Danio rerio: one gene and its partners. The protein of the gene in region 1 interacts with the protein of each later gene in a pairwise test. Links are inferred from orthologs where the notes say so. Each region holds a gene or a part of one and is shown in the gene's direction. Other genes may lie near its edges.

Evidence for each region.
Region 2: the proteins of tfip11 (region 1) and odad3 interact in binary tests that used the Homo sapiens proteins (3 or more experiments, as listed by UniProt). The two-hybrid records come from large-scale screens. The link is inferred for Danio rerio from reciprocal best matches to the Homo sapiens genes TFIP11 and ODAD3.
Region 3: the proteins of tfip11 (region 1) and abi2a interact in binary tests that used the Homo sapiens proteins (3 or more experiments, as listed by UniProt). The link is inferred for Danio rerio from reciprocal best matches to the Homo sapiens genes TFIP11 and ABI2.
Region 4: the proteins of tfip11 (region 1) and lats1 interact in a two-hybrid assay, tested with the Homo sapiens proteins (2 studies listed by BioGRID and IntAct). The two-hybrid records come from large-scale screens. The link is inferred for Danio rerio from reciprocal best matches to the Homo sapiens genes TFIP11 and LATS1.
Region 5: the proteins of tfip11 (region 1) and imp3 interact in binary tests that used the Homo sapiens proteins (3 or more experiments, as listed by UniProt). The two-hybrid records come from large-scale screens. The link is inferred for Danio rerio from reciprocal best matches to the Homo sapiens genes TFIP11 and IMP3.
Region 6: the proteins of tfip11 (region 1) and sh2d4a interact in binary tests that used the Homo sapiens proteins (3 or more experiments, as listed by UniProt). The two-hybrid records come from large-scale screens. The link is inferred for Danio rerio from reciprocal best matches to the Homo sapiens genes TFIP11 and SH2D4A.
Region 7: the proteins of tfip11 (region 1) and gng4 interact in a two-hybrid assay, tested with the Homo sapiens proteins (2 studies listed by BioGRID and IntAct). The two-hybrid records come from large-scale screens. The link is inferred for Danio rerio from reciprocal best matches to the Homo sapiens genes TFIP11 and GNG4.

Annotation. Positions count from the first base shown.
Region 1 is NC_133198.1:20,749,864-20,753,765, reverse strand, and holds the end of tfip11 (tuftelin-interacting protein 11), read left to right. Parts: intron 1-849; coding exon 850-1,093; intron 1,094-1,169; coding exon 1,170-1,312; intron 1,313-3,005; coding exon 3,006-3,171; intron 3,172-3,253; coding exon 3,254-3,615; 3' UTR 3,616-3,718; downstream 3,719-3,902. UniProt on the Homo sapiens protein: Involved in pre-mRNA splicing, specifically in spliceosome disassembly during late-stage splicing events. Intron turnover seems to proceed through reactions in two lariat-intron associated complexes termed Intron Large (IL) and Intron Small (IS).
Region 2 is NC_133181.1:9,171,059-9,174,960, reverse strand, and holds part of odad3 (coiled-coil domain-containing protein 151), read left to right. Parts: intron 1-1,373; coding exon 1,374-1,520; intron 1,521-1,610; coding exon 1,611-1,771; intron 1,772-3,902. UniProt on the Homo sapiens protein: Component of the outer dynein arm-docking complex (ODA-DC) that mediates outer dynein arms (ODA) binding onto the doublet microtubule. Involved in mediating assembly of both ODAs and their axonemal docking complex onto ciliary microtubules.
Region 3 is NC_133184.1:13,911,323-13,915,224, forward strand, and holds part of abi2a (abl interactor 2a), read left to right. Parts: intron 1-754; coding exon 755-922; intron 923-3,902. UniProt on the Homo sapiens protein: Regulator of actin cytoskeleton dynamics underlying cell motility and adhesion. Functions as a component of the WAVE complex, which activates actin nucleating machinery Arp2/3 to drive lamellipodia formation.
Region 4 is NC_133195.1:1,293,229-1,297,130, reverse strand, and holds part of lats1 (serine/threonine-protein kinase LATS1), read left to right. Parts: intron 1-1,905; coding exon 1,906-2,488; intron 2,489-3,902. UniProt on the Homo sapiens protein: Negative regulator of YAP1 in the Hippo signaling pathway that plays a pivotal role in organ size control and tumor suppression by restricting proliferation and promoting apoptosis.
Region 5 is NC_133177.1:10,337,368-10,342,050, reverse strand, and holds the start of imp3 (U3 small nucleolar ribonucleoprotein protein IMP3), read left to right. Parts: upstream 1-1,745; 5' UTR 1,746-1,842; coding exon 1,843-1,979; intron 1,980-2,094; coding exon 2,095-2,202; intron 2,203-2,796; coding exon 2,797-2,871; intron 2,872-3,538; coding exon 3,539-3,618; intron 3,619-4,683. UniProt on the Homo sapiens protein: Component of the 60-80S U3 small nucleolar ribonucleoprotein (U3 snoRNP). Required for the early cleavages during pre-18S ribosomal RNA processing. Part of the small subunit (SSU) processome, first precursor of the small eukaryotic ribosomal subunit.
Region 6 is NC_133185.1:7,484,073-7,488,533, reverse strand, and holds the start of sh2d4a (SH2 domain-containing protein 4A), read left to right. Parts: upstream 1-1,579; 5' UTR 1,580-1,682; intron 1,683-1,857; exon of another isoform or gene 1,858-1,934; intron 1,935-2,060; 5' UTR 2,061-2,127; intron 2,128-3,687; 5' UTR 3,688-3,786; coding exon 3,787-3,961; intron 3,962-4,461. UniProt on the Homo sapiens protein: Inhibits estrogen-induced cell proliferation by competing with PLCG for binding to ESR1, blocking the effect of estrogen on PLCG and repressing estrogen-induced proliferation. May play a role in T-cell development and function.
Region 7 is NC_133188.1:53,673,505-53,678,094, reverse strand, and holds the start of gng4 (guanine nucleotide-binding protein G(I)/G(S)/G(O) subunit gamma-4), read left to right. Parts: upstream 1-1,539; 5' UTR 1,540-1,863; intron 1,864-4,590. UniProt on the Homo sapiens protein: Guanine nucleotide-binding proteins (G proteins) are involved as a modulator or transducer in various transmembrane signaling systems.

The DNA of each region.
Region 1 (3,902 bases):
GGCGTTAAACACAAATTTAATACATTGGCATTTGTACAATTTTAACATGTAGATGTATGACTGTCTACGTTTAAATTCATATTTACTAATATTTTAGATCTCTCTGAAAAGAATCCGCAATAAAGTCATAATTCAGGGCGCATATTCAAAAAAGAGAATTATTGATGTAAGTATTTTCTTTGAATAAATATTTTTAAATGCTTTTAAATATTTGTAAATATTTTAAATGATAGAGAATGGCCAAATTTATATTTATAGAACATATGTGCAAATGTTTTATTCTAGCCATTAAAAAAAATAAATTAATAAATATTTAAAAACTAATTTCTAACCATATAAGAACTTTGTGACTTAGGAGTCCTCTTCACTACTCCTAATGTTTCATTAATTTAGGAGCTAGTGTTTTGAAAAAGCTTTTGTGAAATACTATGAGTGAAATGTTGGAGTCCTAAATTTAGGACAGAAACTCCATTTAAATCTATTATTTAGAAGTAAGATTCTCTCCTAAATCATCAAGTTAAGAGCTCCTTTTAGCTTTAAGATGTCAGTATGACAATAAATTGTCAAAAATGTTTTTTGCAAAAAAACAAAACTTAATTTTTAGTGCCTGTTGAATGATGATGAATTTGACCACATGAATGTCAACACTACAAAACGGTCCGATTTTATGTGTTCTCAACTACCTTTGGATGTGGACGAAAGTGGAAAATCTTAAAACATTTTAGTCTTTGTCTACACCTGTATAAAGCCATGTCCACCTGTGATCAGAATGATGAAAACATCCTAATACCAGATGTAAACAGAACCAAGTGTTTCTATAAAGATGTAACTTTTTTTTTTTTTAAATAGGTGGACAACTGGAACCCACTGACCGACACAGTGCCCATTCATTCATGGATTCATCCCTGGCTACCTCTTATGCAAACCCGTCTTGAGCCGCTGTATGCACCCATCCGTAGTAAACTAGCCCATGCTCTGCAGCGCTGGCACCCCAGCGATTCCTCCGCCAGACTCATTCTGCAACCCTGGAGAGATGTCTTCACACCCGGCGCCTGGGAGGCCTTCATGGTCAAAAATATTGTCCCCAAACTGGGTATGTGCTTTTTTGCTAGACTGTCAGACTTTGGGAGACTTGGATGGCATGTGAAGGTTTTTCTCCTGTGTTTCAGCTTTGTGTTTAGGAGAGCTAGTGGTCAATCCTCATCAGCAGTTGCTCGATCCATTTAACTGGGTGATGGACTGGGAATGTATGCTCTCTGTCTCTTCCATGGTCGGACTCCTGGATAAAAATTTCTTCCCCAAATGGCTACAGGTCAGCCTTACAGAGTTTTACAGTTATGCCTGTTTCACATTGTAAGCGAGAGCAGAGCATAAGCAGCACGTGCACAGAGCAGATTGAGAGCAGATGTAGCGCACAGGCGTTTGCCTTTCACAGTAGCTCTGTCAGCAGCACGCAGTGCATCAGCAGTTATTGCACTGTTTAAGTTGTTTAAGTTCATTTAATTGAATATATAAAAATCTGGGGACATTATCGATGCATTTATTGGGTAAAATTGCTACTTTTTACGGTCATTCAATGTGTTTTTGGTCGTTATCAATCCACTGTCACTTTAATTGAGCGTGAGCAGCATGGCAAAAATAGACCCAGCACTGAAACTATCGCTCACGCTCCACGCTGACATGCTGCTTCTGCGTGCAGTATGAAAGCTCTAATCTGTTAACATGGACGCCGAAAAAACACGCGCTGCTTAAGCTCTGCTCGCGGTGTGAAAGATGGGTTAGTCAGTGTAATGCATTAGCATAGCTTGTATTTCTTTGGGATTGGGACAAAACATGAAAGACTGTTGTGTACTGTTGGGGATGTTTTCATTCACTCTGTGGTGCTTTTTGAGTCGTAAGTTGGCCAAAACTTTGTCTGTGTTACAACAAATGGAATCATTTTTGGTGACAAATTTTTTGACACATATTTTGGGAAAATGCTTTGAAAATGTTTAAAAATACACCTTGGGAAAATTTGCTACCCTTTCATTATTTCTGTTTCTGTTTTTTCCTATTGACTTACATTATAATCATATTTTTGCAAAGCCAAAAATTGCAAAGCCATGACACCATATAATCATGCATTCTTAATTGTTGTTGGTGGTTTTCCCCTCTTGGAAAGAGGTGCAATTTAATTTTTTTACTGTTGATCATTAATTGAAGAGCAAAAAAAAAGCTCAGTTTCTGTCTTCTATACTAGTGTGTGTGAGAGAGACACCTTTGCACATTTTTCTTAATATGTTTGAGAAAATCAAAATAAGCAGCTCAGCTCTCAGAAAATAGTAAACATATTAAGAGTATTTATACACACACACACACACACACACACAATAATCTAAACAATAATTTTTTGCACATGCCTATCTAAAGTGTTAATGCTGCCAACTGATGTTCATCAGTAAAAATGACACATTTACCTTATCCCAACAGGGTAAACCACCAACAATCAAGAATGCATGATTATATGGTGTCATGGCTTCGCAACAAAATAAAAATGTAATTATAATGGAAGTCAATGATGCTAAAACAGCCACAAACATAACAAAAGGGCAGTATACTCGAAAAGTACACAAAGGTTAAGAATGTTTTTAGCTCGGATAGTTCACTCAAATAAAACTTTCATCCAAGATGTAGGAAGGCATGGGATGATAATTGTTTTCAAAGTAAGCTGCGGTTTGGAAAAGTTAAGGTTTTAAAACCGTCAACATTTTCTGCTGCACAGTAATCACAATACTGTCAAACCGGGATATTTTTATCCAAGGTTATTATACCGTCAGAATCTTATACCAGCTCATGCCTAAATGTAGGTGCCATTTTCGTCTTTAAACACTAAAGAGTAAAAGAGAACATTAAAGAGTTCTAGCTGATAAAAGTAGTCATTAAATGCCATGGCTCCGGATGACACACTGATGTTTTGTAGGCACTCCTACTACATTTGTTCACGGTTTCTTTGTCTCCTATTGCAGGTGTTGTGCTCTTGGCTCAGTAATAACCCAAACTATGAGGAGATCACTAAATGGTATCTGGGCTGGAAGGGCTTGCTCTCAGAGAACCTGCTCAGTCACCCATTAGTCAAAGAAAAACTCAACGAAGCCCTCGACATCATGAACCGTGCCGTTGCTTCTGGACTCGGTCAGTCACATGCTAAAAAAATAATGTTCACTTAATTCATCCATTCTACCTTCAACTTCTCATACATTTGCTGTCCTTGCAGGGGGTTATATGCAACCTGGAGCAAGAGAGAACATTGCATACCTGATTCAGACAGAGAGAAGGAAGGATTTCCAATGCGAGCTTCAGCCAGAGCGGCGCGAAGTGGACAATTCTGCCACACGGCCACCAGGAATGGCAGCGGTGCCAGCATCTGTACCGACCAACTTTAAAGATCTAGTACAGGCCAAGGCCGAAGAGAACGGCATCGTCTTTATGCCACTGGTAGCCAAACGGCACATGGGCAAACAGCTATTCACATTTGGCAGAATAGTCATCTACATCGAGCGTGGAGTGGTGTTTGTCCAAGGTGAGAAAACCTGGGTTCCAACATCACTACAGAGTCTTATTGACATGGCCAAATGAGGCGGAGGTTTGAATATTGCTCTCTAATCTAGTTCTGTGTTGCTTTAAACTGTTTGTCTATCAATATTGTTTATACTGCTGAATAAACTTGTGCTTTAATTAATGGTTGATCGTTTCATTCAGCTACCGCCTACTGATGTGTCACATTTCATTTTAATCAGACTAATATAGGAAGAGATTTTTATTTTATACAAATTTTTATTGTGTATTTCTGTTTAATAAGCTGGTGGAAAAAATAGTGAAAACTAAATCTGATTTACAATTGAAAAAGGAAATATTTCTATTAG
Region 2 (3,902 bases), on another chromosome or scaffold:
AAAATATATATTAAAAATAACTGTATAATATATATATATATATATATATATATATATATATATATATATATATATATATATATATATATATATATAGTAATTTAAAATAATTTATTCTTGTTATGGCAAAGCTGAATATGAGAAGTAGTTACTCCATTCTTCAGATGTCATTCTATAATGTTCAAGTAACATTTTGGATTATTTAATTTTACTGCCTAATATTTTAGCACTCACAGCAAGAAGGTCGCAGGTTCAAGTCCCCACTGGGCCAGTTGGAATTTCTGTTTGGAGTTTGCATGTTGTCCCCATGTTTGCGTGTTCCTGCAGGTGATCCGCTTGCCCCCACAATCCAAAGACCTACGCTATAGGTGAATTGAATAAACTAAATTGGCTGTAGTGTATGAGTGTGTGTGAATGAGTGTGTATGGGTGTTTTCCAATACTGGGTTGCGGCTGGAAGGGCATCCGCTGCTTACAACATATGCTGGAATAGTTGGTGGTTCATTCCGCTGTGGCAACCTCTAAAAAAGAGACTAAGCCGAAGGAAAATGATTGAATGAACATTTTGGTTTAGACATTATTTTCAAATGTGAGGGATAATTAAGAAAAACAAATTAATAATTAAGTTTACTAAGCCACATGAAGTTGACAAAGGCAGAAAGATATTTAAAATTTTACCACAAAATATTCAAATTTTCATTAAATATTGATCATTGATTTCAGTTTATTAAAGAATCCTGAAAGAACACATCAGTTTCCACAAATTTCATACAGTAAAAACACGCGCTTTCTTCATGGCTAATAAGCTCCAAAATTAACGTTCAGTTACTCCGTTTCAAATCAGTAGACCGGAAAAACAGTTTAAAAATGAATCATTCTAAAACTTAACAAATATTAAGTATTAGAAACAACTTTTATTGTGTGTATCTTTCTGTATGTTTCCACTTAAAATTTCTTAGATCATTCATACCATCAATTATTCATTCATTCATTCATTCAGTCTGATTTATCAGAGGTTGCCATATGAACCACCAACTATTCCAGCATTGTTTTTACGCAGAGGATGCCCTTCCAGCCACAACTCAGTACTGGGAAACACACATACACTTTCACATTCACACAGTCATACACTACAGCCGATTTTGTTTACCAAATTCACCTATAGCGCATGCCTTTGGACTGTGGGGGAAACCGGAACACCCAGAGTAAACCCACATGAACAGGGAGAACATGCAAACTCCATACACAAGTGGCAATTGGTCCAGCCGGGGTTCGGACCAGCAAGCTTCATGCTGTGAGGTGACAGTGCCAAAGTGTTTTAGTATGGTTTTGTTTAGTATATCTCTTTTCTTCTTCTGCATGTCTCTTATCCAGCCTCAATGGGCCACCATGCACCCCGATGAGCTGAGCAGCGAGGCCCAGCGCAGCGCCATCATAGTAGGAGAAGAAGCAGAAACCACATCTACGTTTGAAGAAGCTTTCCAGCGCATCAAAGAAGCCACTGGAGTCACAGACTCACAGGTGAGGACAGTGTATATATATTTCAGTGCATATAGACTACTTCTTTATGTTCAGGTTAGGATTGTTTATTCATGGTGTCTCTTATAATAGGAAATAGTGGACAGGTTTGTCTCTCAGGGAGAAACTCATGGTCATTTGGAGAAGATGAAAGCAGAAAACGAGAGAATGCTGCAGGAACTGAAAGAAGAGAGAAACACACTACAGACTCAGCTTCAGGATATGAAATACTCACGAGAGACGGAACTCTCAAGGTGAGAGCTGAAAACTACAATATCTTTTCAGCATCGATATCACAATGTGATCATTTGCAATAGACAAATCGCAGGATTTGTATTGTAATTTATCATTTGCATGTGTTTTTGCGGCCTGTGACTGAATGAGAATTTTAAAAGCATTCATGCATAAGACATTGTACCGTTAGTAACATTAATAACCATTATTCATTCATTTTCCTTCAGCTTAGTCCCTTTATTTATCAGGGGTCGCCACAGTGGAATGAACCGCCAACATATTCAATTAAATTCAATTCACCTTATGAATATAAGCGCTTTTACAATGTAGATTGTGTTAAAGCAGCTTCACATAAAAGATCATAGTAAATTGAAACAGTGTCAGTTCAATTTTCAGAGTTTAAGTTCAGTCCAGCTTAGTTCAGTGTGGTTTAATAATCACTACTGAGAGTCCAAACACTGAAGAGCAAATCCCTCGATGCGTAGCTCTACAGATCCCGAACCATGCAAGCTAGTGGCGACAGCGGCAAAGAAAAAAAAAACTTCACCAATTGGCAAAAGTGAAGAAAAAAAAACTCGAGAGAAACCAGACTCAATTGGGCACGGCCATTTCCATTTTTCCGCTGGCCAAACGTCTTGTGCAGAGCTGCAGTTTCAGCGGCGGAGGCTGGAAGCTGGCCTCAGCGAAGACTTGTCTGTCTCTGGAGCGTCACAGGAATCAGTCTCACGCTCTCCACTCCTCCATGACCACCACAGCAGCTGCTCAGGATACGGCCTGATCCAGGATATGGAAACCTTGGGATCCATGTTACCAGCATATGTTTGACACAGCGGATGCCCTTCCAGCTGCAACCTTGTACTGGGAAACATCCATATACTCTCACATTCACATACATTCACATACATTATCACACAGCACCTTAGATGATAACTGTCATAGTAGTTTGTGCTGTTGTTTAGCCATGACGCAGAAATAGAAGCCGTTTCTAAAATAAAAGCTTCACTCATAGCCATTATGGGCGGTTAGAACAAAAACTACTTTTAACGTGGAAAAATTCGAGTAGCATCAGTGTTACCATCACTACCGTTTACACCTGCATACCTGGTATTAATATGCATTTTCGTTATTCTGTTTACTAGAGAACACAGAATTGTAAACATGATCTGAAATGGTTTGTGCAAGTAGTTAAAAACAAATTTGATTAGTTTGTTTTTGCAGTGTATCTTAAAACACAAATTACGATATAAATTTTACTTGTCATCTTTGCTCTTTTCATCCGCTTGCTCTCTGCTTTCACAGAAGCTGTGTAGTGTGGGTTTGTTTATTCAGTAGCACAAAAGTCATGTAAAATGTAATGGCATAAGAGGTGATGGTCTCATTTAAATCCAAAAGCGAGTCACAATAACATATTTGAACGCCTGTTTATAGCAAGTAAAATAAAATTGTGTCTCTGCTAGTCATGTGGGGTCAAAAATCGGGAAAACCCATGCAAGGTGGAAGCGGGACCTTAGGCCATGTGTCCACCAAAGCAAGTGTATTTTTGGGGGGTTTTAATGAGCTGTGTGCAGGTTACAGTGCAGCCTAGATAGAATTTAAAGGAACACTAAATTAAAACTAATGCACTACTATATATTTTTACGTTACACCATTACATTTGGCTAACATACTTAAAAGGATAGTTCACACCAAAATGAAAGTTATGTCATCATTTGTAACTTGTTTCAATACTTTTCAATGAGTTTCAATAAGTTTCTTTCTTCTGTTGAACAAATGAAGATATTTTGAAGAATGCTGAAAACCTGTAACCATTGACTTCCATACGATTTGTTTTTTCTACTATGGAAGTCAATGGTTAAAGATTTTCAGCTTTCTTCAAAATATCTTTGATTGTGTTAAAATAAAGGAACATGTGAATGTTTATAACCATTAAGGGAAAGTAAATAGTAAAATAAGAATTTTTTTGGGTGAACTGTACCTTTAAGAAACCTCAAGCATGGACTTATGAACTCACAGCTGGTGCAACCCTTACCTTGTGTTTTCAGCTGTGCAAGAACGCTTCAGTAGACATGCAACCTTAGTGGTGACATTTTCTGAAAGGCATTATATAATACAATTATTCTCATTGGTGAGCTTTGTAATTCTCTTGTTTCG
Region 3 (3,902 bases), on another chromosome or scaffold:
TTTCTTCTCATAGCAAATTAACATGCAACTCGACTGTTCCATAAAAATAATTGGCTTAATAAAAAATGGGATTTAATTAACAAAGTTAAATAAACATTTTAAATAAAATGAAAGAACTAAAGGCTTTGTCTACGCATGCAAGGCAGGCAGTTTTGTACAATTACATATTCTATCGCCTAATTTTGGTATTGGATAGATAATATTAACAATAACATTAATAATAGCATTTATCGGTTTATATCAATATGGCTGGCGATATATTGTGCATCCCTAGATTTGATTGATTTCCTCATCTCTGGAACTCACTTCCTCCTGATCTCCGTAATTTAAACTTTCACATTTCAAATCCAAACTCAAAACTCTACTTTGTTTTTTTAATTGTACTATATTTTTTTGTCTTTTAATTTTGTGTTTATCTGTTGGTTGTTCTTGCTATGTTGTGTGGTCTTTCTTGAGGTGCCTTTAAATAAAATGCATTATTATTATTATTATTAACATTATTATTACTATTATTATTAGATTTGGCTTGATACTGACTAGAGATTTTAATCTAATTCGATTTCGTTGAGCATTCTGAGATCAGTACAATATAATAGTTGCATTGTGAGTTTAACTTTAAAAAGCTTTTGGACCATTAATGTTGTAATATGTTTTTTTTAAATCAGCACAAATCCCTTAACTACCACAGCTTGAATCCTTTAAATGGCTCTGATTAAATTGCGCACTGACTGTTACTCTTTTGTTTCTCTTTCAGGCTCCAGACAAGCATGTCGCTCTAGAGGAAACCAAGAACTACACTACTCAATCCCTGGCCAGTGTGGCCTACCTGATCAACACTCTCGCCAACAATGTGCTTCAAATGCTGGACATCCAGGCGTCTCAGCTGCGCCGCATGGAGTCCTCCATCAACCACATCTCTCAGGTAAACACTTTCATACAGTTTCACACTCTGAGCTATATTTACTGAATGACTGACAGCTCTTAGAGACTGTGAGGAGGCGACAGGTGGATGACTGTGACCTAGTTGGGTAAAAGGTAAGATATTGAAAGCATAACATGAGAAACACTAAAATAAGTGCACAAAAAAGTGCTTCATGTTTTGTAAATTGCAATCTCAAATCAGTCCCTGTTGTAAAATTCTCCTCCTGGTAACATGTTAGGGCTGTTTACTGTATGTTTACTCTAATGCTGGGTTTACAAATTCAAGTATTCACATACAAAATAGATTACATACAAAGGCCACAAACTAGGCCTCAATCAGATCTTTCCTGCAAAGTGCAAATCGTGAAAATTTTGACTTGCTTTTTTTTTTTTTTTTTTTACACAGCTCATTATGTTCTGCGTAATTGGATGTAGACTAGAAGTCTGCATTCCCGCGGCTGTACCGAGGGAGCTGACCAGATTTCTGCGGCGCGAGAATAAATTTTCGTATAAAGCGCAGGAACGGTCGGTAACTGGTTTAATTTTGGACGGGAGCGGGTGGTCTAAAAGTATTACTCCTGACTCTCGAGCAAGCGAGCACGCGTATCTATGTGTGAGAATGAGACAGTGTGATGCTGCGTTTAGCTAGTTTGCTGCTGCTAGTTTGACCATTGTCAATAAATCTCCTCTATTTCTCCTGTGCAGTGCAAAATGCATTCAGTTTTCCAAATTAACACAAATCTATGATCACTAGCAGTGTGAGTTTTAACAAGGATGCAAAAAGGGTGTCTGCAGCAAGATCATCAAAAAAGGGGTCGCAGACTGTATGCACTGCGCCAGTCAGCGCCATGCAAACATAGGTTTCTATCAGGATACGCACACCGGCATCGCAAGTTGATGGCTGTCAGTGGCGCCTAGCTATGACTCAGGACACTGTTCGTATTTCTGCCACGCTACATCTGAATAATTTAATTATAAATAACATGTTAATGTGTGCGTATAGTTTGTGTTACTTCTTACTGTATGTGCGCGTCGGATCCGGTGAACGACCCCTAAAAGGATGGAGTCTGCTTTCGCTTTGCTGATCAGTGACTGCAGGAAAAAAAACATTACGCTGGATGCTAACATTATCCACACAAAAGCGAAAAAGCTTTATGAATCTTTGGCGGACAGCGCTGAATGTTTGCGCCTGACAACCAGTTTTGATCTATGGTTTCATTCTATAATACTGGAGTTATTTTTCTATAAAAGTTTGAACTTTTTATTTTTTGAAAGTGTTTAAACAAAAATTAAAAATGTGAAAATGGTAATGATTTTCTGATAAAAGTGTATAAATTGTGTAGTGAGGGGTTTTACAGCCTTAAAATTGTAATTTATAATTTGTTTGTTAGAATTGTAAAAAGTAAAGCTGTCTACTTCGTGGATTTCACCTATTTTTAGAATGTAACTCCTGCAATAAACGAGAGCAACCAACAATGTGGACGCATCATATACAAACGTCAAATCTAAAATACTCGTTCCTAAAGAGCGAATCATCACTTCCCTACAGGTACTGTTTACTAATAAGGTAACAGTAGCTATGTTGCCATCCAGAAATGCTAATTAAATTGATGCGCAAAACTGGAATATTGCATAAAAGACATGCGAATCAAGCAGTTTTTCCATTCAACAAGTCAAAGAAAACAAAATCATCATTTCCTTATTAATGGCACCAAATATCAATAGTAAAAAAAGCAATTTGCTGTGGTAGGAGAAGCTGTGTCAATCTTTTCTTCATTTAATAATTGACTTGTGCCTTAGAAGATGATGTTGACACGCAATTAGCACGTGGCGTTGTTTGAAGGCATGAGATGTGGAGCACAGGTCCTCTATTCTGGAGGTCATTAATAATATCATTACACTATTACTGAAACCGTTAAGGCTGGTTTGTCTATTGACACGTTTATCATCACATGATCTCATATAACTGAATCACATGACCTTTTTTCAGTGTGCATACTGGAATTTGTATGGTAAAAGTGTTTCCATCGCAGTTTATGCACATTTTCTTATTGAATAGAAGTTTATCCTACTCAGTTAAGCACGTATGTTTTTATGCACATTTATGTGTTTTCATCAATCGTTTATCCCAAATGCGCATAAAAATAGATGGATGGAATCAAAAGTAGTGCCAACTATTGTCCTGGCATATGTAATACAGCATGTTTGACAGTTTTTTCTTATGTGTGTAAATGTGAATTGTTGAAAGCTTGTCATATATACGTAAAACTTTAAAAATGCAAAGGGAAAAACATTGAAAAAAACATGGATGATTACGGTTTTCTTCTTTATATGCTTTTTTTTTTTATTTAGTATCCATTTCTGTGATCTGCCCTCATCTGTGGACTCAGCTGTTACTCTGGACTCGTGCCCTATTTTACCATATCACTGTCGGTTAATGCTGAAAATCATTTATCTGTGTTTGATATGCCAGCAGCAGAGGCTTATCCTCTGTGTTTCCTCTTTTATTTTTTATTTAACAGCTGTCTACAGTATGGGCTCTAAAGCGATTAAACACGGCAGCACAACATCTAATGCAGCTCTTCTCGTCAAGTGCTTTTGACACAGTCCTCTCCCAAATTGCCGTGTGAAATGAAACAGAACTCCATCCACAGAGATTTCAGGCCTCTCAAATACGAAGTTCATGCCATCTATTTTCCACAAGTTGTTTTTTGCTCCAATGCTTAGCTTTAAGACTTTTTGGTAACACTTTGCAATTACTGCACGTTACGAATTGTTTATTAATCATTAGCAAATTGTTAGTTTATTATTTCTTAAGCATGTGCTAATGCGACTTAAGTAGACATTATAAGCAGTTTACTAAGTGCTGTACTGTATAAATGCTGTATTATTGAGTTGCAAAATCTCAAATCTAATGAGCTTGATGTTATTTAGAGATTCTTTAGAGATTCAATAATTTTTAATGATTTAATTTTTGCTAA
Region 4 (3,902 bases), on another chromosome or scaffold:
AGAGCACCATCTGCTGTCATAAACTAGCCTAGAGCACCGTCTGCTGTTATAAACTAGCCTAGAGCACCATCTGCTGTTATAAACTAGCCTAGAGCACCGTCTGCTGTTATAAACTAGCCTAGAGCACCGTCTGCTGTTATAAACTAGCCTAGAGCACCATCTGCTGTTATAATAAATGGCCGGCAGCTAGCTTTTCTCAACTCTCACATGGTCGCCCACTGAAGCTAAGCAGGGCTGTGCCCGGTCAGTACCTGGATGGGAGACCACATGGGAAAGCTCGGTTGCTGCCGGAAGTGGTGTTAGTGAGGCCAGCAGGGGGCGCCCAACCTGCGGTCTGTGTGGGTCCTAATGCCCCAGTATAGTGACGTGGACGCTATACTGCTCAGTGAGCGCCGTCTTTCGGATGAGACGTTAAACCGAGGTCCCGACTCTCTGTGGTCGTTAAAAATCCCAGGATGTCCTTCGAAAAGAGTAGGGGTTTAACCCCGGCATCCTGGCCAAATCTGCCCACTGGCCTTTGTCCATCATGGCCTCCTAACCATCCCCATATTCCAATTGGTTTCATCGCTGTCTCCTCTCCACCAATCAGCTGGTGTGTGGTGTGCGGTCTGGCGCAAAATGGCTGCCGTCGCGTCATCCAGGTGGATGCTGCACACTGGTGGTGGATGAGGAGACCCCCCCCATTGTGTGTAAAGCGCTTTGAGTGCCCAGAAAAGCGCTATATAAATGTAAGGAATTATTATTATTATTATTATTATTATTATTATTATTATAAACTAGCCTAGAGCACCATCTGCTGTTATAAACTAGCCTAGAGCACCATCTGCTGTTATAAACTAGCCTAGAGCCCCATCTGCTGTTATAAACTAGCCTAGAGCACCGTCTGCTGTTATAAACTAGCCTAGAGCACCATCTGCTGTTATAAACTAGCCTAGAGCCCCATCTGCTGTTATAAACTAGCCTAGAGCACCGTCTGCTGTTATAAACTAGCCTAGAGCGCCGTCTGCTGTTATAACTAGCCTAGAGCACCGTCTGCTGTTATAAACTAGCCTAGAGCGCCGTCTGCTGTTATAACTAGCCTAGAGCACTGTCTGCTGTTATAAACTAGCCTAGAGCACCGTCTGCTGTTATAACTAGCCTAGAGCACTGTCTGCTGTTATAAACTAGCCTAGAGCACCGTCTGCTGTTATAACTAGCCTAGAGCACTGTCTGCTGTTATAAACTAGCCTAGAGCACCGTCTGCTGTTATAACTAGCCTAGAGCACTGTCTGCTGTTATAAACTAGCCTAGAGCGCCGTCTGCTGTTATAACTAGCCTAGAGCACCGTCTGCTGTTATAACTAGCCTAGAGCACTGTCTGCTGTTATAAACTAGCCTAGAGCGCCGTCTGCTGTTATAACTAGCCTAGAGCGCCGTCTGCTGTTATAACTAGCCTAGAGCACTGTCTGCTGTTATAAACTAGCCTAGAGCGCCGTCTGCTGTTATAAACTAGCCTAGAGCTCCATCTGAAGTTAAAAACTAGCCTAGAGCTCCATCTGAAGTTAAAAACTAGCCTAGAGCGCCATCTGCTGTTAAAAAACTAGCCTAGAGCGCCATCTGCTGTTAAAAAACTAGCCTAGAGCAGCATCTGTTATTAAAACGTAGTTCAGAATCAGATCTGGAGAGAATAGTGATGCATTTTGAAAATCTGGCAATTGACGCAGCATTGTTCTTTTAAAGATTATGTTTCAGAATAGCAGCATAGTGGTCGTTTGATCATTGTTGGACACCTTGTGTGTTGCATGCTGTGTTGTTTTTCAGTGCTGGATGCCAGTGTTGTGTCTGAAATGTCGCAAGATCAGTCAGTCTGTGTTGTGTGTCGCTGGCGTATCTGTGTTTCTGAATAAGGAGTGTGTTGTGTGTTCAGGTGGGACTCTCGGGCGACGCACAGGAGCAGATGCGCATGATGCTGAGCCAGAAGGAGTCCAACTACATCCGCCTCAAGCGCGCCAAAATGGACAAATGCATGTTCGAGAAGATCAAGACTCTGGGAATCGGGGCGTTTGGAGAAGTGTGTTTGGCTCGGAAAGTGGACACTGGAGCTCTGTACGCCATGAAGACCCTCCGTAAAAAAGACGTGTTGTTAAGGAACCAGGTAGCCCACGTGAAAGCCGAGCGGGATATTCTCGCTGAAGCGGATAACGAGTGGGTCGTCCGCTTGTACTACTCTTTCCAGGATAAAGATAACTTGTACTTTGTCATGGACTACATCCCTGGAGGAGACATGATGAGTCTTCTGATCCGAATGGGCATTTTTCAGGAGGACTTGGCTCAGTTTTACATCGCAGAGCTCATCTGTGCTGTGGAAAGCGTCCACAAAATGGGTTTCATCCATCGAGACATCAAACCTGACAACATCCTGATCGACCGTGATGGACACATCAAACTGACAGACTTCGGCCTCTGCACTGGATTCAGATGGACTCACGACTCGAAATACTACCAAAGCGGTGAGTCTAACATCTCCAACACCTTTTGGTGAATTGATCCAATGATTTTGTGCTATTATCGTGTAACATCTAGGAAGCTTGTCAAAAGTAACGAGCATGTGCACATTTGAACATGTTCTTTAACACAGCTGATTGGCCGTTGTGTTCACCAGTGCTCAACAGAAATGACTGTGATTGGCCATAAAGGTCATTGGTTTACCACTCTTTACTACTGTTTACCGACACAGAGAGACGCAGACACTACTGCATTTTAAAGTCGCGTCAATCAGCTGATCTGTCAATGAGCTGACATGAGCAAGCCGCTGATGGATCGACTGATCCACGCAGCTTTAAAATGCTCTAGTGTCAGTGTATTTAAAGGGCCATGAAACCCCCTCGTTTCAGCAGGGTGTTTTCACGCCTCTACTTTGGAAAAGGACAGAAAAGTGGGCGTGTCCAGCTCTGTTTAGGGGGGAGTGTCAGAAGGGCAAAAGAGGGATGGGGTGGGAGTGTCTGTTTGACCACGCGCTGAGTTTCAGAGTCAAAACACACACACACACACACACACACACACACACACACACACACACACACACACACACACACACACACAAAGGGGAGAATGTGACTGTGTTTACATGGACATCTGTAATCGAATTATTTGCCAAATGATTAAATGGTGGACTTTAACTGCAGTTTGGCTCTTTCATTCAGGGAATTCATTCATGCCCCTCGTGACAAACGAGATATTTGATTCGAGGAGCTGCTCTAAGCGTGTATTTTTCATGCAATGTTTGATACCGCACGGCGAATGAGAGAAAAAAAAACCTCCGCATTTCCCGGAAACTTAGATGCACACGGCAGATAGTGTCAGAAAGCCGCGTGTGTTATTCCGGTCACTAAATGCGGTGAAAATCCTACACGAAGGTAAAGTTTGGTTGTAGTGTTAACATGTTTACACTCGGTGCAATAGTTAGTTCGATACAAACAAACTGAATAAACAAAGAGCACTGGTCGCTCACTTACCAAATCTGTAGAGACAGGACAATCACCAGCAACTAGAGCCGCGCCTTTATTAAGAGGAGACGAGCAGCGAATCTGGATCTCAGCGTTTGCAGATGAGAACAGCTCTCAGGTAAACAATAATCCTCCTTAGACACGTAAGTTATTGTTGTCGAGCGTCGCATACACTGTTAATCCACACGTGACTCCAGCTGCGCTCTCACAGAGAGAAAATGAAAACAAAACTTCACTGCAGCAAACTATAAAAGCAACACTTCACGCTTGTTTTGCCAACACAACGTGGCGTCTCTGTCGTCTAAACACTGTGACAGTAATGAATATTAATGAAGTTGCACAATAGAGCGCGCTGATTGGTTTGAACCAAGCTTTACTCATGCATTAATGCAGCACACTGTAAGACGTAATAAGACTC
Region 5 (4,683 bases), on another chromosome or scaffold:
TGGTTTATTAAGGACTCACACACGATGCTTTGCTGAGGTTACTGTATAAATAATTAGTTTATTTTCATTAAAAACAAGATTATAGGGTGAACACTGGCATGACCGGGTGGACAAGGGCTTTAATCAGTGAACTAAATATGAGGAACATTTGAAAAACAACTGGTACAACAAGAAACATTAATATAAAAGGGCTGTAAAAGTTTTCAAGAATTCAGCTTCTGTTTTCACTAACTACTGCAAACCACTGAGCCACCACACCGCCTCTGCTGTTATCAATTAGGTTTTATTGATATGGAAATTAATGAGAAAATAAACAATTATTGTGCTTTAAATTATATTTGCATATTGAATGTAAATCTTTACATTGTACATTGTATTGGAGGAGTGAATGGAGTGTAGGAAGCAACTCAAGTTGAACACCTTAATGATACAGATTTTTTTTTTCAGAATAAGGTAAATAATTAGATACACATGTTATTTACATTATTTAATTATACAGATGTTCACATAAATGTAGAAATACTTAGGGCTGTGTTTTTATTTCAAACAGTCAATGAGCTCTATTATATGGACTTTTAAAGGATATACTAGACTGAGACTCTGAAGAGAAGGCAAAATGGGGATGCCAATGAGTACATCAGAGGGTTTCTTAAAGGGGCATTTACCACATGATGGGGTGGACAGCAATTTCAAGGACACGTGCAAAATGATTAATAATATTATTAAAAAGAAAATTAAATTTATTGAAATTTATTTTTTTGTCAAATAAAGACTCTGTTGCATACAGTCTGTATTAATGATATTACATATAGTTCAAGTTCCAACACTTAAAAAAATATATGAAAGAAATTCCCCAGAGCACATTCTCACTATCACCATCAAGATATCAAATTTCTTTCTCTCTTTATTTCAACACACTCGCAAAGCTAAAACGTTTGTTCGTAGTTTATAGGTTTCTGGTTCTAAATTCCAAAATCAAACTTTCTGTCAGCTTTCCGCGCATAAAGTAGGCTACATGAACGTCCTTACATTTAAATGAAAATCGCTGTCATGATTGAATTTCCAAGTAGCACAGGCTATTATAATGTTCGTAATGTCTGTAAAGAGCTTTAATTTGTACTGTACCCTACCTGTTCGAGGCTCACACACGCCGTCCAATGGATGGATATGATCGCCATTTCTTATAAACATTCACTTCCTTTACCTCACTTTCTGCAAAGATGAAACTAAGGTTTGATAGTGATTTATGTCGTGTCGGTTTTCCTGTCATGTGAAAATACATTTTTTCCCCCAGTGACATCTCCTGATGACTTAGATCAATTATAATACGTTTACGTCAGCGCAAAATCTGTCTAATTTGATCAGTTTACATACTGCAAAGCTGCGAGTAGCCAAAGTTTTGAAATGAAAATGTATAGTATATTTTGCTACTTAATTTATTGTTTTACTGTTTATTTGGCCATTTTATTTGTTTTGTGATTTTTTATTATTAATATTATTATTATAAAGTTATAATTTTAAGTAAAATGTGTTATTTGACAGGCTGTGTTGTTTGATCAGTTGGATTCTTTATCTGTTAAAGTCGCTCTGGATAAAAGCGTTAATTAATTAATAAATTAATAAATAGATTAATTGATAAATGTATTTATTTATTTATTTGTTTATTTATTTGTTTATTTAAAAATTATAGTGTTTCCCTCCTGAACACTGTGCGGCGATATCGAGCTTAACAGCTACGTTTTTACAGAAAACCACAGTGAATAAAAAGCACGCGTGCGTAAGCTGAAGTGAGCAAGTTATTAACACGTTTAGCCATAAATATAGCCCGTGTTTTTTAGCAAAATGGTACGTAAATTAAAATTTCACGAGCAGAAACTCTTGAAGAAAGTTGATTTTATTAACTGGGAGGTTGACAACAATATACACGAGGTTAAAGTGTTGAGAAAATACCATATTGAGAAGAGGGAAGATTATACCAAGTGAGTAAAGAAAATGCTTCTATCAATGACTGTGTTTCTCTGAAGTTATGGGTCTAATACATCACTGTGAATAAAACGCGGCTTATCAATTAATGCATTCGTGATTTCTCTTTAGATACAACAAACTTAGTCGAAATATCAGAGAATTGGCGCAGAAAATACGGGACTTGGACGCAAAAGATGGATTCAGATCTCAGAGTACAGCCCTTTTCTTGGAAAAACTGTAAGTTTGGGAACCTGTCACATTTTATTGTCATGAATATACAGAAATTGTTTTAGTTTAGAATATATAAAAGCATAAGCGATAATAGACAAGTTTATTTATATAGCAGATTCCATACACAAAGGTAATCTAAATACTTTACATAAACATGAATAAAAGAAAGAAGAAAAGAAAAACAGCAAAGAATAAAAATGATTAAAAACAGGTTTAAAAGGAATCTTATGAACTTTATTATATTTAAAGTTATTTGTTTGTTTGACGAAATTTAATTTGTATTAAATCTTAAGTCTATTAATGTTATTTAATAATTCTAAATCTAACTATACTCGAAACAAGATTTTATTTCTATACAAACTATTGTAATACATGTTTATTAGCGCTATCTGTAAGTCATGGTAAAATTTATGATAGATAAAATAGATGTCTTATATTTTTTGTTCAGAATAAAAATTGTACAGTAAATAAAATGTGAATCTGTATATTATTCCGATTTTTAAAAGCTTGTTGACCTTGGTTTTTTGTGTACACCTCATTCTGTAAGGAGTTTACTAAAGTTTTAGTAGTTTCTACATTTGTAAGATTTCTGTTTTGCAGATACAGTGTCGGTTTGATTCCCACCAAACAGAACCTCTCTCTCGCAAATGAAGTGTCAGCATCTGCATTCTGCAGGTGAGTAAAGTTACTGTGCTTTATTTAATTATTCCAATATGTTGATTTGATAATCAAGAAACATTAATTATTAATGTTTAGGGTCCCCATGCTTTCGTGGACACCAGATTCAAAGACTTATTAAATCACTAATCATTTTAAATTAAGCACCTTTAAAATTTGCACCTCCAGCATACATACATACATACATACATACATACATACATACATGCATACAAACACATATATAGTGCCATGAAATAAAGCCCTTCATGTACTTTAGAGTAATGATGATGTTTTGAATGTGCTACTCTGTTTTAAACAGTCATGTTCAAAGAACTTTAAAACAATTTGATGAATTCAATTCTGGTAATCTTCAAAAGCGGTTTCTGAAATATTGTTGTGCATTATTTTTCATAGTTCTTGTACTAGATTTAAATGTAAGGTTTTTAAATAAAAAAATTCTTTTTTTGTTGTTGTTGAGTTTTTGAAAGCAGCACCGTACATTTGTTGAAATGACACCATAAACTTTCAATTCAAACATTCAAATTTCAATATATTTTTTGATTTGAATAATAAAATAATTTACACAAGTCCTGCACACTGACAACTAATATGTGAGTGTTTTTATGCAGTGCAGGAGATGCAGACAATTTTTGAATGTTGTTCAATGTTGTCTTTTCTACAGGAGGCGGCTTCCCACAATCATGCTGAAACTGCGCATGGCTCAGAACCTAAGGAACGCCATCACCTTCATTGAGCAGGGCCGTATCCTTCAATCACAAGTCTTGCTGATCTCTGCATATGTTCATATTCTTATATTTAAATGGGTGGATGATGTCGTTTTGATCAAAATCAGGCCAAAAGGAAATTAGTTTGGAGTTTAAAATGGCTAGGCAAATTGAAGTTTCTGGAAAAGTTGATTCACCTGCTAAATGCCTCTAAACTGCTCTTGTTTACACCTGGTCACTACATGCATTTTTTCTGTGATCGGATAGCTAAATGGCCCTTAAAACGCATTTGAGACTGATATAAATCAGATTTGCTTAGACCATTTCCTATGGTGGTTTCCAGACAAAACGTGTCTAAATGAATTTCCTAAAATTGGTTTAGAAAAGAGGGGATTAAAGTCAAAAACCTGACTTCAATGAGCCGAACTAAACATCCACGCTTAAATTGGTTCCATATCAGAAAGTTGAAGATCATTTGATCTAACTAATCTGAGTTCAGTGTAAATAATGTAGATAGCTGTTCGTGCACATTACTGTCGCGAAACCCTGAAGGTTGAGCATAGATGCATCCTAGAGATAGTTGTGTGTAAAAATCCCTATAGCTCAGCAGTTTCTGAAATACTCAGACCAGCCTGTCTGGTACCAACAACAATACCACGTTCAAATCACTTAAATTACCTTTCTTGCCCGGATTCATCAACCGGTTTGCAGCTTTAAAGTCATTCTTTAAGAAATGTAGCCTACTTCTTTATATCAGTCAGTGCTTTCTTAATATATTTTTTATTTAATTATGTAATTCATATGCTACATAAATATAGCAAAGTACACCCCTCACAGATCAATATTTTGAATTAATATATCTACAAAATGCTTTATGTTTTTGCATATACATTAAATTATTCAGTACCAAAGCAAAATTTGGAATAAATCTAACAACAAATAAACTAAAGATCACAGTTCAAAAATTTGTACACATAATTAATATGTTGAGAGAAAATATCAAGTAAAATTTTAATTAACAGGACAAAAATCAACATAAACATTAAAAAAATGGAGTTGATGTTGTAGTTTGTATTTGTCTTGTTTGCAATAATGTATATAT
Region 6 (4,461 bases), on another chromosome or scaffold:
ACTTTACCTCTATTATGTCGATATACTTCCTTTGTGATTGACTGTGCCATCGATAGAGTTTCCAAATATTTTCAGAAAGAAAAATCTATCCCCTATAATGTACCAAATAAGTTCAATTGGACAAAGAATCGCTATCCACACCTCACCACTCCTACATCAATGTCAAAACTACTTAACCTGTATTGAGTATATGAAAATATTTTATATGGTTTTTATATTTCAATATTTTTATATATTATATCTTTATATTTAAATAAATAAGTTAAATAATAAATAATTCCATTGACTTAAGTTCAGCTTCTAAATAAATAATGATTGTATCCTCCTCAGACCCAAAGAATGTTCATTCATTCATTCATTTTTTTGTCGGCTCAGTCCCTTTATTAATCCAGGGTCACCACAGCGGAATGAACCGCCAACTTATCCAGCAAGTTTTTCGCAGTGGATGCCCTTCCAGCCGCAACCAATCTCTGGGAAACATCCACACACACACTCATTCACACACACACTTATACACTATGGACAATTTAGTTTAACTAATTCACCTGTACCGCATGTCTTTGGACTGTGGGGAAAACCTACGCGAACGCAGGGAGAACCTGCAAACTCCACACAGAAACGCCAACTGAGCCGAGGCTCAAACCAGCGACCTTCTTGCTGTGAGGCGACAGCACTACCTACTGTGCCACTGCGTCGCCCCAAAGAATGTTTTTTTCTTTTTTTATGTGTGATTTCCTACCTCCTTTGGGTTAAAAAAAATCTACAATTTAGAGTTTTTACATTTTTTACGTTTTGTTTTTATTTTTAATTTTACAGCATGTTCACTGTAGTGGACCACAGGACCATTTTAGTTCAGGCAACAGAAAATTGGATGCTACATGATTCACTGAAACTAAGCAGTTCATAAGAGTTAATTGTTCGAACTATGTGCTGTTTATTTTCATTAATTACGTATATGTTTGTGTCCTTATAATGATTCAGTCCATCTGCCAAGGAAACTGATTTATTAAACACAAAAAATCTCACAATGACAATCTTATTGCACTACACACTGTTAAAATATTACATTACATTATTATTTTTCAGTGGATACAGCATACTGAAACTACATGATTAATATATAAAATGTATGCATAGGCCTCTGAAAGAAAATCAAGAAATTTCAGCCATGTGCGATTTCGGTGGTGGTTTATGACAAGTGCGCCACCTAGTGTGGGTTGTTCGTCACCACTGATATTGCTCAAATCAAGATTTTTAAAATATGCAAATCAGAGGTATTATGAAACTATTTTATCACGCTGTTTATGTACATTAAATTCAACATAAAACAAAACAATGTATGCATGCCAATCTGAAAGGTAACATTAAGATATTGTCAACCCATATGCTATTTCAGTGTTTTTTTATGGACAAGTGCTCTATCTAGTGCGGGTCGTTCGTCACAACTAATCAATATTTGTGTTATTTAATTATGCAATATTGTATTATGAACAGTGCATAATGTATAACGCTCTGTTTATGTACGTTTAATTTAACTTTGAAAAATTGCTTAAAATCACTCAATCTTTAAAATTGTTTCCTATCCGTGTCAGAGGTCATTGAACAACACATTCCACGCTGAGTCTCTGCACTTTTCGCCTTTCACCTGCACTGTGAGGTTTAAAAGAATCTGCTGGACGGATGTAAGCTAAAGCTAGCTACGCTATGTGTAACTAAATATGTATCCAAAATATACCAAAATATACTATATTGCTATAGTAAATGAGTTAGAATTGTGTGGCTGACGGCATTTAAGAGGAACTGCGCGCATGTCTAATAAAGCAAACAAATATAAGAGCGGCACATAAAGCACCTTTCATGCAGCTGAATGTGTCTTTCACACGGAGCCGGAGGAAGAACCAAGTGTAGGAGGGAACTGAGTTTGAGTTTTAAGGGTGTGTTCAACATTACCACTGACTTCACTCGAGAATTACCTTTCTGTACAGGTTTCTCCTAATGTTAGGTGTAGTTCTCAAAGGAATGAAAGGTTATAGTCGGCGTTTTTTTGGGATTGTTTTTAGGTAAGCCACTGAAGTGTTTCTCAAATCCCCATGCGAGTAATGAGTGTGTCAAGACTTGATTAAAGCGGTAAGTTTACCTCTCTCTCTCTCTCTCTCTCTCTCTCTCTCTCTCTCTCTCTCTCTCTCTCTCTCTCTCTCTCTCTCTCTCTCTGCGTGTGTGAGTCATTAGTGCTGGATTTGATCTGGCATTGATTGATTGACTGTTTTGTGTAGCTTCCTGTTGCTTGTTTACATTCTTATATTGTATGTAAAACTTCTGGGTTTGTTCAAATATGATAAATTTGTCTCGAGATTACCAGACATCCGTTTAACAGTTAGACTACACTGTATTCCTATGTTTTTACATTGTGACTTAAGTGTAATTGTGACTTTTGTTTCCAGCATTTCTGAGCTTAAATATCCAAATTTCCCCACAAAAAGGAGTCAGAATTCTGTTTATGCCTTCAGTTATATTTTATCTGACTTTTTACTTGTTCAGTTTTTTACATCTCACAATACTGATTTCTAATTGATATGTATAACAATTCTGTGTTCATCATTTGGTTCCAACAATGGAAATTAAAATGAAGCAGATGTTAAAGCTAATCAATGATTTTTAATGTAGTACATGAGATTCGTCTCATTTTTGTTTTGTTTTCTTATCAAAACCAGAAATATCTTTAAATAATTTTATTAATGTTATTAAAGATTTTAGTGCCTATCAGGTTATAGGATTAATTTCAGTAAAACTAAAGTGATGCCTTTAGGTAGTCTACAAACTAGGGTTGTCGCGATACCATTAATTCATGTTACGATACTATACCAGCTAAAGTATTGTGATACCAAGTAGTATTGTAATGCTGTAATTCATAACTCAAATCTATTAAATAAAGAAAATTGTCAAATATTATATTTTAAAATGTTATAATAGGCCTACTTGAATTGAATTCATAATTCCTTTATTATTAAAAAAAAAATGCCACTTTACCTAAAATGTATTGATTTATTTAGTTTATTTTGTAGATAACTGACCAGCAAAAATACATTAAAATAAAGATACAAAGTATACCAAACGAAATGAGTTGCTAAAAAGCATTTTTTGCAAGAAATTAGGCTAAATGAAGTGGTAAAAAAAATTCTCAACATTTCCTGTTGCTATTTTGTGTTTTTCATCTATTGTTTTTTTTTTTTTTTTTCATCCATTACTTTCCTTCCTTATCTGCAATTGCCTCTCTGGCTCCATCGCTAACTGTATTACAGAAAAAAAAATACTAATGTTTTGCTTCTTACACTTTACATTCCTGAAACTTGCCTACAGCACTTATTCATTGTTGCACTTATAGTTGTGTAAATTGCTTCCTTGTCCTCATTTGTAAATGTAAATGTATTAGTCTTATCAGGTAACAATCCAAAATAATTCAAAATCTTAATCTAGATAAATGCTTAATCCTTATTGGTAGAACCCAAACTAAATCTATCTCCAACTTTTTTCTCTCTCTTTGAGATTTTTTTTTAGCTTTATGTGGTTGAAATGTTTTGTTTATGATGTATTTTTTTCTTTGTTTGTGTAAAGTATCGTAATTTATTTTCTATAACGTTTCGTCTGAGGAAGAACATAAAAGAGTTTGAAATGGTTGTGTTTTTACAGTCCACCTCTCTCAAAGAACAAGAGACACCCCTATTACCCCTCTGCTGACTGAAGATATTTGAGTTCTGTCAAGGTGGTGTTTGTCAGTGACACGGGAAGATGCTGCAGCAGATACTGATCGACATGTACATTGAGCCGGATCTCCTGGCTGAGCTGAACGAGGAACAGAAACAAGTTCTCTTCTTTAAAATGAGAGAAGAACAGATCAGGAGATGGAAAGAAAGAGAGACACAGCTGGAGAAACAGGAAGCCGCACATGCCAAAGCCAAAAAAGGTTTTTATTTCCACAAACATTTTGTCATTAAGATGTGAATAAGCAGTTAAGTTGAGATCTATGCAATGCTGTTTTCTAGCCAAACCTGCAATCATTTGAATTGAAAATACTTTTCTGTTTAAGATCACTGTTTCGTCATATCACACAATAAAGGGACAGTGAAAATAGGGTTGGGCGATGTCGACCAATTTGACATCTTACAGTGTCTAATGTGAAACATCAGGATGAATGATGGGATTGTCGTCGTAGGCTGCGGTGAATTCATTATTTATGAATAATTATTTAATTCATAAAGAATTAATTATTAGTTATTAGCCTACCGTTTCAACTACCTGACCCACATGGTCTTTATTTTACTCATAACCAAATCACAAATAAATAAAATTACACACAAATCACCACCTGTCAATCACTTTTTCCGCAGGACTCTGGCATGAATAGGCTGAGTGATCTGTCTCTGAGGTTTTCGCTAAAATTACTAAGTACAAGCGTGAAAGCGA
Region 7 (4,590 bases), on another chromosome or scaffold:
TTTATTTTGTTGGTCCATTTGAGTGTTAGTAGACCGTCTGCTTAATATCTGCTGATATTGCGCCTTCAACAGATATTTAACTGACTGTAAGACACATTATTAAGCACATTAACCCTAACCTAACAGTCTACCTATAATCTAATAAGAATTAGTTGGTATGTAGATGCAAAGTAACTTAAATTCAACAGAGCATCAAAAAAGTGTGACCTATTATTGTTTTTTTACTTATTTGTTTTATTCAAATGGCTAAATTCTAACTGAGGAAAGTTGAATCTGCTGGCCAGATTATTATTTGCCTAATAAATGAACATAAGCTACTGTCTTTAAAAACATTTAGCGAATCCTATTTTTTTTCTTAATGATAAATCATGTAATAATTTAATGTTTTTTTTTTCAGAATATTTTAGGAAATGTTTTGGTACATCAAAAAGTTTGGTTATGATGACCATCCGACAAGCTATTTAAACAGAAAAGTGCTTAATGTGATTAAAATTCAGTATTTAAACCTCTTAATTAAATTGAAAATGAGGTGAATAACTGCAAATAAGTCCACTTATTGAGAAAATCCACCAGGCTGGCTACAGGCCTGCATATAAACATTTAAAGGCGCATCCAAAAATGATCAGAGAGATTACAGCCAACTTTATATTATAAAAAATAGATTATATTATAAGATGCACATTATTAATATTAATGCTTTAAAATTGTTGGAGGTAGTGATCAGTTTTTTTCCCTCTCCGCTGTCGCCACTGGCTCGCATGGTTCAGGATTGGTAGAGCTACGCATCGATGAATTTGCTTTTCAGTGTTTGAACTCTCAGTAATGATTTTAAATCACACTGAACTGAACTGAACTGAACTGAACTTAAACACTAAAAACTGAACTACACTGTTCCAGTTACTATGACCATCTATGTGAAGCTGCTTTGACACAATCTACATTGTAAAAGTGCTATACAAATAAAGCTGAATTGAATTGAATTGATTGTGTCCAAATAAAATTTAAAATCTTAACAAAACAAATAAACAGTAACTTAGATGAAAATGTGTGCATTTGTGTCTAAAAACTTTGGCTAGTGGTCAATTAAATTGCTACGGGCGTGGACTTATCAACATGATAATGTGTCTAAAGGTGTTTTGGTTTTTTCATCATGACAGTAGTAACTTTAATGAGATTTATTTTTAAACTGCAACATAAATGTGATCATATTTGAGCTTGCCATGAAACACTTTTAATATGACATTCCATTTGCATATTGCACATTATATTTAACATTTAAGCATATTAAAGTGCTTTGCTTGCTAAAAATGTACCAAAGAAATAAGAATATGTAGATTTCAATACAGTGTGAGGAGGAATCAAAGTACCACCATATCACCCTGCTATCGTGTTTAAAAGTTGCTTTAAGTTACGTCACGGCCGCTCGCTAGCGTCATATTGGTGACTGGGAGACCCGGTGATGTCACATTAAGCAGGGAAACCTCACGTGCCTCCGGAGCGCCCTGGCAACTAAAAAATCTCCCTGTACGATCCTTCGGCGATACCGAATATCGGGAGTGCGCGCCGGACGCTCATCCGCGTGTCCGTCGGGGATCTTAAAGGCGCAGCGACACCTGCATCCTCTCCTGCGTCACACCGAGGTTCCCCTCACATCTTATGAACTAGAGAGAGAGAGAAGAGGAAGAGAGTGAGAACTAACCGGGGAAACACTCGACGTGTGAGCGCGTTTGGCGGAGGAGCGCGCGGACGGTGAGCTCGAGGTGTTGCGGGTTTTTCCTCGTCGCGTTCGGGTGGAGTCGAGCCACATCGCGAAGTCTAAGAGCAGTGACACACTTCAGGTGGGTGGAACGCGCTCTTCGGCAGGTACTGGCGCTAAAATGCATTCGCTTAAATCATTTTTGGAACGTTTGGCCGCCGCGTTCGGTTGGTTTGCAACATTGTATCCGTTCAGGAGAATTCCAGGCGCGCCCGCGGCTCCTTTGATGATCAGGCGGATGTAAGATGCGGGATGAGGATGATCCCGCAGGGTTTGAGGGTTTTTTGGTTTGGGATTGAGCTGAAGATGGACGCGATGGAGCCTCTTGGCCGTTTGATTTCATCTGTCTTTAATTGTGAACGCGAGGGTGATGAGCGTTTAGAGCTCTGTGAGAATCCATTGAAATTAATGAATGGATGCATGGATGGATGGATGAATAATAATCACGACCCTCACGCGTTTTTCTGCTGATCTTCGATTTCGAGCACATGCCGACTTCAAATAAGAGCCTGAAATACGACGCTGCTTCTTTCTATAACGCCTGCATGTCGGTGTATTGCGCTTCTCCAGCGTCGTGGCTGTCTCTTTGGCCTTTATTCAGCTCTGCTGTGGCATTATAAATGTGCACATGAGCTTCATATAACCCTCGCGTTGTGTTGAGATTGTTGTGTAATGATTTGTACGTATAAATAATTCACAATTAACCTCTATTATTCTTAGCTGCTCCTCTGACCCGTTTTGACAGGAATTGCTGGAGCTGTTATGTCACTGTGGTGTTGGTGTGGATGAGAAATGAGGAGCATCTGTAGTTCTGCTTAATGTGTGTATATACGAAAAAGGAACTTGTGCTTATCTATTTGATTAAGAATGTAGTAAAACAGTATTATTAGGATAAGGAATAGCTGTCTTCGTTGAATTTGAATAGATTTAAACATAAATGACAGCTGTGATGTGAAGCTGTCACATGATCCTTCAGAAATCATTATGATTTGATGATCAAGAAACATTTCGCTTTTGATAGGAGTTCCTGAAGAAAACTATATGTGATAACAGGCTTAATAATGAGACATTTAACATGATGTAGGGAAGAGTGGGGCACAAAGTTTTTGGTTTTGGCCAAGTAATGAATAAAGTAATGGAGTAAGACAAACCGTTTGATTTTTACCAACAACACACAAGCCTCTCCTACAAATGAGCGCTGGTTGTATGATCGCCGGATCTATGGTTTCTGTGCAGTGTTGCTAAAAATGCCAGGAGGATAAATGTTACTATTTGCCCCACATGCGGGCAGGGCCGGCCGTGTACATTTGGGGGCCCTAAGCAGAGTAATATTGGGGCTCTACCTTGCTCTAAATAGTGAAGTTTTGCTATTGCAATCCGCCCACAATGATTATATTGCATATTAAATACAATTAATGAAACAGAAAAGCCTGTTTTTTTCTACTTAATAACTGTCTGAATGATTAGACCAGCATTGTTTCTGTCAACTAACAGCTTCAAGAATGAAGAATTAAACTTAATATTTAGTAAAAGGGACCAGTGATTCCTACTTTGCATCCTTCTGATATGTTTAAAACATATTCTATTAATTTAGAAAACAGGTTGAAGATTTTATAGCTAATGGTTGAGTTTTTTTATTATTAATTCCGAAAGCAAAAACCCTGCATTGAAACAAAACTAAACAATAATTAGCCGAAAGTGAATATGCGCTACTTAGAAATAAAATATACTTTCTGAACTCATTTAAAACTAAAATGCAACAACAAAACAATTAACATTAATTCAAAAATTGACCCATAATTAATAAAATCAATAAGCAAATTATATAAAGTAAATACTCTGTTAAAATAGTTAGGTTAATAGTACCCCAAAATATAACCCAACTATAGGTTATTATGGCACCTACCCAACTTTGGGTTATTTTATCCCAATGCATTGGGTTATTTTGATTAAATGTATTTTTTCCATTCTGGTATTACTTTTACTATTACTACTATTTCATAATTATGGCTGTGTAAATATGTAAATGTCTCCGCTGGGTCCTGAAGGTGAGAATCCGGCCAGATATCCCATATGTGTATCATTTCCAAAAAACAAAGCGCAGAGATGAACACAGGAGGTCGAGAAAACATTTTATCCATTTAATATAAATCGTCTATGAAGTGTGAAGTGTGTCTTAATCAATAATTAAGAGTGCTGGTGAAATGGATATAAAAAACGCGACACTGAGAGGTCATTTGATTAAAAAAAGAACAACAATATTGTGTTGGAGCTTAAATAAACTTTATAGCACAAATACAACATTACAGACGCATATTAATACCGCTGTTCTGTGTCAGTTAAATCAGTTGTTTGTTGACATTCTAAATTATAACCAAACTGGTTGAGTTATTATATAAATAACCTAATAAAAAATAACCCAACAAAGCATCAATATTTAACCAAACTGGTTGAGTTATTAATAAATAACCTAATACAGAATAAAAATAACCAAACAAAGCATCAATATTTAACCCAACTGGTTGAGTTATTATATAAATAACCCTATAAAGGTTAAAAATAACCCAACAAAGCATCAATATTTAACCCAACTGGTTGAGTTATTAATAAATAACCTAATACAGAATAAAAATAACCAAACAAAGCATTAATATTTAACCCAACTGGTTGAGTTATTATATAAATAACCCTATAAAGGTTAAAAATAACCCAACAAAGCATCAATATTTAACCCAACTGGTTGAGTTATTAATAAATAACCCTATAAAGGTTAAAAATAACCCAACAAAGCATCAATATTTAACCCAACTGGTTGAGTTATTAATAAATAACCT